Linked DNA regions of Caenorhabditis elegans. The protein of the gene in region 1 interacts with the protein of each later gene in a biochemical or structural test. Each region holds a gene or a part of one and is shown in the gene's direction. Other genes may lie near its edges.

Region 1 (3,350 bases):
TTGTGTTATGCTTACATGAATGTCTTTTTTGAATCTTCTTTTCTTCCAGCTTCTACATTTTTTTTTTGCAAATCTTCTTTATTATTATTTCATGGTTTTCATTAGCTGATGAAGACTTTTTCTTTGGTCCTAACAATATGTTTCTTGTTCAATTTTCATATTTCAACCCCGTTGATCTTTTCAATACTAAAACATTTTTTAGTTAAAGATCTAAAATAAAACTTTACTATACTTAATGCTCGTTACAAATTAAGTTCATTCAAAGTTCGTCATTGTTTCTATTTTCCAAAGTGTTTTCCAAAGTTCATTAAAACATGGTAATGACCAGTTGAGTGGGTTGTTGGAACGTTCTCAGTTTATTTATAAATGAGTTTTTGCTTTCGAAAAGCTCACCGATTAAAATATCTTGACAAAACTTTCTGACCTTACTGACCTTAGAATAACAACCGGCAATTTACAATAGAAGTATTATTTCTATGACAAATCTAAAAGTTATACACGGAAAAACAAACAATCGAAGCTGAAAGAACATTTAATGATTCTAAAGAGTAGTGTCACTTTATTGAAAGTAGTATTTTGTTTGAAAAATATAAAACTGCAGTTCAGCAAAAAAGAGCTGAGAAATGAAATTTGAGAATGGCAAAAGGTAAGCACGTTGTTAATTTTCGATCAAAGCGGTGTGTTAGTGATGTGCTCATCATGCGTCTATAATGTTGATGCTTCCAGCTTCCTAATAAACCACTCGAAAATTAATTCTTAACGATCATCATAATATTCTTCGTAATTGAAAAAAACTGAATTTTTATATTAATAATGTTGCTCTGATAACTGAAATCAATTTATGTCCAATAATTTTCCAATCTAAATGAAAAAATGTAACGATAAAGACTATTACTTTAATGAAAAAGTCCTTGAAAATTTTTAGCCAATTAGAAAATTATACGCTTAATTTATAAACGACAGTAATTACAAAAATGAAATTTCTAACTCATTTTGCTTACAATTTTTCGAAGATTTATGCTAATAAAAGGTGAAGAAAGGTGAAGGAGGAAATGATTACAACACATTTTTATTGTGCCAAATTAACCAAACATCATAATAAAACTTTTCGAACAAATTTTTAAAATTTTTTGATTTTCGTAGTGAGCACTGAGTTGGCGTCACTTTTCGAGATATCTGAACATAGTCGCAAGATTGAACGTGTTGGAACCTGTTTGTTTGAACACTTTTGAATTATAAATATATTGAAAATAATAAGAGCATACATAGCAACATTTTTTTATCAACGACTTTCGAAAAATTGGTGCAAACTGAGTATTTGACTGAAAGTAAAAATAATTTCTAAACCCCACCTTTAAATCAAGCTCGATTTGAAAATATGCCGAAATCCCTTTGAAAGATGTCTCATGACTTTCCTAACATACAAACCACTACATATAATACTTAATTATTTATCGACCACCATTCGATCATAACTAACAATATGATGTATTTGGGTGGTTGTGTTGTATTCGACGCCCAACACTTGTGGTAGGCGTAATTTGATTGCATCTGGTGCCAGAGAGGGTCCGGCATCTTCTTTGATAATCAACATTCCTATAGACGTGTTAATACGATTTAGCGCAAACACAAAGGGCACATGTGGCAATATTGCGATATGGAAAATGATAGAATGCGTCAATGGCTCTTATAAAAACCGTCGACTCGACGCGTTTTCAACTCATTCTTATCATGGTTTTCTGTGTGTTGTCTGCATTTTCTCGCACCAAATCTGTTTCCTTTTCCGCTCCGTCATTTTTCAATAAACTTCCGACTTTTCCGGATGAATTCGTCAGAGCAAGTGGCGCTTTCTTGGAAAAAGGAAAAAAAATCAGATTTCTTCCTCCATTCCGTGTCTCTAGATGTCCACAATTAAGCTTGGGATTGTTCGTCAGTGACTCCAAACCCCCGGCTTTTCCATTCATTGAGAGCAAAAGCCCCGCCCCAAGTCGCTAACATTCACATCATGTTTTTCAATCTCAACATGTCATTCTTCAACTCGGCGCCGTCTCGTTTTTGCTCGTCATCTTTTTAGACTTTTGTTAATCTAATCTTAAATTGTTTAATTTTTCTAATTTCCAGGTAAAATCACATCAAAAATGATGAAGTGGCTGCTTTTGGCTGTTTTCTGCATTGCTGCCTATGCCTGGGCTGATGGGGTATGTTCCAATATTGAACCAAAGTTTATTCTTTAATATAATTCAGACTGAGGATTCAAATATCGACCAACTGATGTCGCGAGTATACCGAACTGTGTTGCTCAAGTCTAAGAGAAGCCGTGAGTGAATATTGAACCTAAATTCAGCAAAATCGTCAATTTTTCAGCATCCATGGGACTTTCTCTGGCAGAGTACATGGCTTCACCACAGGGAGGAGATAACTTCCATTTCATGCCTTCCGGGAGAAAGTAAACTGACAATTCATCCTTAACCCCTAATATCAAATTCCCATCATCCTCTCATATTGTGGCTCTGACTGTAATTAAAGGAAACTAATTTTCTGTGTGTCTCTCTTACTCTCTCTCTCTCTTTTCATTTTTTTTACTATTCTCTCTCTCATTCCCTCCCCCATTGTCTGTCGCTGACTTGTGTCGAAACTGAAAGATCTCAAATTAAAATCAACCTGTTCCTGAAAACTAAAAAAAACAAAGCTGCTCCTCAATTTGTATACGTTTATTGATATTCGTCAGTTTCTTGATATATCTAGTCTTCATTTTCTCCATTTCTCTCCACAACAAATTGAAGCTCCATTGACCCAATAAATAATTTCATCGTTACGTCATATAGAGATTTTTTTTGTTACTCATACATCCGGATACGTTTATTAGGAACGGAAGGAAAAGTCGCATTAAAAGGAAACGTGAAATGCAAATATGAACGGTAAGCTGATCTTCGTTAGTTTCCGCCTCCAAAAATTATTTGGCTTGCAATGCTTTCTTTCTGGAAAAACTTAAACATGTAAAAACAATAATGGGATGAAAGAAACTGTATACGAAAATGTGGTCAATTGTTTTTTTAAAATGAAATTGAAATTTGTGAAAATTAACTACGTTTTTCTATCTGATAAAATTTCTTAGGGGGGGAGGGGGCAGGATAGCTCAGTCAATAATGGTGGCCGCTAGCAATCTGGAGATGACGATTCCAAGTCCGGCCTCGCCCCTTAGGTTCACCCAGACTCTATTGGGAATGGAGCAATCCACGACTGGATTATCGGCCACAGTCCCCGGCTAGGACGTCGCTTGAATTATAGCCCAGTGAAAGCTCCACCAGGCACAAAATTGCTAAATTTACCCAAAAGCTGATTTTTTCCAA
Region 2 (3,757 bases), 9.1 Mb from region 1:
GCATCAACAGTACACTCAATTTCTAAAATAATGGAAATATTATCTTCAAGATGAAAAAAAACACCCAATTTTCTTATGATTTGAATTAAAAATTGTGAGGTTTTTCCTTTTTCGTATAATTTTCAAACATGTCAACTAAGAATTCTGGCTTAAGAAACGCCAATATGGCAAAATATCGTAACAGTAATTAATTAAACACCATGAATACATTTTAACATTTCTTGTAAAATTGTTTCATTAAAGTTAAAAGTGCAATTACTTACTTTTCGCATTTCATAAGTTCATAAAAAAGAAGGCAACTAAAATTTGTTGGTTTTCTAAGACGTTCCTATTTAAAGGTTGAGTAGCGTCAGTGGGGATTTTGTCTAAATCTAAATCTAAATCTATCGTGATTCAAAACGACCAAATATCATAATAAAACACTCCAAAAATGATTTTTCATAATTTCCGAAGTTTTTGCAAACTGCCAAAATTTTGAAAAATATGAGCTTTTGAGGAATTTCAAAGAAATGCCACATGTTCCGACCCCTACAATGTTTTAATACAAATAATTAAAACAAAATTACAGTATAAAAAGTGTAGAAAATTTTTTTTTTCAGGTCGACTTCCAAAATTATGAGTGGCAAAAACTGAGTAACTGTCACGTTTTGACAGTAACTGGCGCTACTCCACCTTTAAGTTACATTTCAATTTTTTTAATCAACATTGTAGAGGTTCAAACATGCGATGCCCAATTTTTTTTTCAAACGGCCAGTTTTTTGTTTGAAAATTTTCCGAAACTGACTTGTTTGAAAATGTTCAAAAGTACACGTTTTTGTGATTTCCGCCCACATTTGACTATAATGAGTGTATTCAAACAAACCCCCTTTGAAGCTACTCCTTCTTTAATGCTTTAACTTCATACAACTCCTAAACCTACGTGTAAGCTTTACCCAGCTAATCATCTATTGGTTGTCCGATCATTTGCATCTGCATTTCCAATCATTTGGTAATTACACGACATTTCTTCACTTTAATACCCGGGAATACTACAACAACAACAACTTTTTATGCAGGCCAATCTATCTTCATTTTCCTGAGAAGCAACTTTTTAATATCTTTAAGAATAAACAATTTTTTTGGGGGGGGGGGGGGGGGCAGCCGACAGTTGGCGTGTTCTTTCTTATGCTTGGATTTTTGCTCTCAGCAAAAGTTCATTTTAATTCAAAAAGTTCGAGCTTGTTCGGTCGGCTTGTTCGCCTTCCTCTTCATTTCTTTTCAACATTTCACCAAGCCAATTTGAGCAACTTCAACTCCTTTTTCACCCCCCCCCCCCCCCCCCCCCCTCCCTATTCCAATTGGTGTTTGAGCCTTTTCTATTCGAGTCTTATTTTTATTGCGAGTAAACCTAGAAGTATTATTTCCACGCCGTGAAAAGGGACTAATGAATGTAGTTTCCTCTTTTTTTTTTTGAAGAGTTCTTGGTCGCCTCTTTTTTAGTGGGTTCTTAGACCTTATATGACAAAAGGAAACCCATGAATCAGGATCTGGCAGTGAGGCGTGTAATCCTTTCTTTCCTCACCATTTCAAAATACTTTGAAGGTTCTGGCAAAAACCGGACTCTATATATTCCACATCGGTGCTCTTATTCTCGGTTTCATATTTATTTATATTTATTTTTGCTGCTGCTAAATCGACTTCTTACATCCGTGAAACCAACTTTAGGAATATCTAGATCTGTTATTATGTTTGTGATTTGCAAGCAGACATGTCAAGTTATAATTAATCTCAGACAATCTCTAAATTGTTGCCTAATCTCAATTGCCCTTTGCTCGGGCATCCTAGAAATCTGTAAGCCATTGGCTTTTCTGTGACTGCTCTTTGTTTTCTCACAGATCTCAATGGTGCTACTACTAACGGCTCAATTTTCATTCAGGGCGTCGGGTCGTGCCGCACCATTACTTGTTTTATTCACTCTTTTTTCTCTTTTTTTTTCTTCATCTCACTAAAATAAAATAGTTTTGTCCCCCCCCCCCCCCCTCTTTTGCCTCTTTTGCCCGGAGCATCATCCCCTCCCTTTTTCACCCCTTCTTTGCCACCCACTATGAACTCGACGTGTTATTGTCATTTTCAGTCCTTTTGCGCAGATTTCTTCTTCCTACATTGTCAACCTTTCAGAAACTTGTTGCTCAATGACAAGTATTATACGAGCCGAGTATGCAGCCTGCCAAGAATTGAAAAAACTGGAAAACAGTTCGTATAATCCGGGGTGGGTCAAGTTCCAGTGTTCAGTTTTTTTAAAGGTTCTAGTTTCAAACTCACGTGGTGTCAGAGTGTCGCATATCGACTTGATCTACGTAGATCTACAAAAAGTGCGGGAGAACAGACGCAGAGTTCTCAACTGATTTAGCATGGTTAAGAATGTGGTGACGTCACATTTTTTAAGCGAAAAATTCCCGCATTTTTTGTAGATCATACCTGGCACCACGTGAATAATTGATTTATTTATTTTAGCCTGTAGGTTTCAAAATGTTAAATTTAATCATTAGGAATTATTAAATTTATGCCATTTCAGAGGTTGTTCAGTTGACTTTGACAAATCATTATGTTGGGCAAGTGCACATATTGGACAGCAGATGACCCGAGACTGCCCATTCACATTTTGCACTGCAATTCCTGGGTGCGAAGAAATTAAAGGTTTGTTGAAATTTCTAAAAACGGAAGCGTTGAAAAATACTTCCGCAATTTGCGATTAGGTACTGATGAACGCTTCAGATACTCCATGAAGGTTAGAAAAACAAAAAAAGTAAATCGTTGATTTGTTTCTTAATTGAATGGGACGTTTTTTTTTTCATGAAGGGTTAGCAAGTGTATTATGAGTACATCAATGGTATTGGAAGAATAAAAAGTAGACTTCTGAAATTAGATTTGTTTCTGAAATAATTGTGTGGTTGAAAATAACTTTTAGCTATGTTCTGACTGAAAATTTTTACATGACTTTGCCCAGAAAATTTGAAAAATTAAAATTTCCTGAAAGCAATTTCAGATCTACTTTTTTCTGGTTCACAGTGCCCGTATGCAGCTAAATTTCTTGTAGTGACCTATTAAGAAGATGATCTTTCAAAGTATCAGTGTAGTAATTTTCAAAAATTAAAAGCTGTAGCTCCACTAGCCCTTAACATGTGATAATGTGCACATGTTGCTATTGGGAGCTATTCAGCAAGCTATGGGTGTTCAGTAACTCATAATTTAGGAAGTCGGCCAACAAAAAATCCCCACTGACGCTACTCCACCTTTAAGTATTCCAATATTTTACATAATCTGCTCAACTGTTAAGACATGTTTCAATTAATGTACAATTAGTTTGTCTTGGCTCCTGTTTTTAGTTGTTGTCTTTTATTAGATCCTCATCTTCCCGTTCTTTTGAGCGAGCTCACATGAACTTTCTGACCGATTGCTCTGTAGTTTGCTATGTTTATCTAGAGCCATTTATAAAAAGCTCAACTCCTGGAACACACGTCAAACCACAAAGACACGAATGCCTTCCACTCGGTTTTAAGCCGATGGATTCCTCGAAAAAAAAAAATCGAGAAGCGTTTTTGCTCGTTTCTGGTGATACTTTTATCTTAGTCATTCATCAAACTCGACGCAACGCCGATGCTTCCGGCAGCTAGTGCGAAAAACAAAGAGAAAAAAAAAGGCAGAGCGCAACACTCAAAACTTTGCCTGCTTTTTTCTTCTAGCCGCTAGTATTTTGTAAAATTGTGTAGGGAAAATT

Evidence for each region. The genes of interacting proteins can lie anywhere in the genome.
Region 2: of the proteins of nlp-49 (region 1) and seb-3, one has a biochemical effect on the other in vitro, tested with the Caenorhabditis elegans proteins (2 studies listed by BioGRID, with this or other methods).

What each region holds. Positions count from the first base shown.
Region 1 is NC_003284.9:5,902,532-5,905,881, forward strand, and holds nlp-49 (Neuropeptide-Like Protein), read left to right. Parts: upstream 1-2,121; 5' UTR 2,122-2,138; coding exon 2,139-2,198; intron 2,199-2,244; coding exon 2,245-2,317; intron 2,318-2,364; coding exon 2,365-2,450; 3' UTR 2,451-2,814; downstream 2,815-3,350.
Region 2 is NC_003284.9:15,024,151-15,027,907, forward strand, and holds the start of seb-3 (G_PROTEIN_RECEP_F2_4 domain-containing protein), read left to right. Parts: upstream 1-2,157; 5' UTR 2,158-2,171; coding exon 2,172-2,248; intron 2,249-2,554; coding exon 2,555-2,676; intron 2,677-3,598; exon of another isoform or gene 3,599-3,726; intron 3,727-3,757.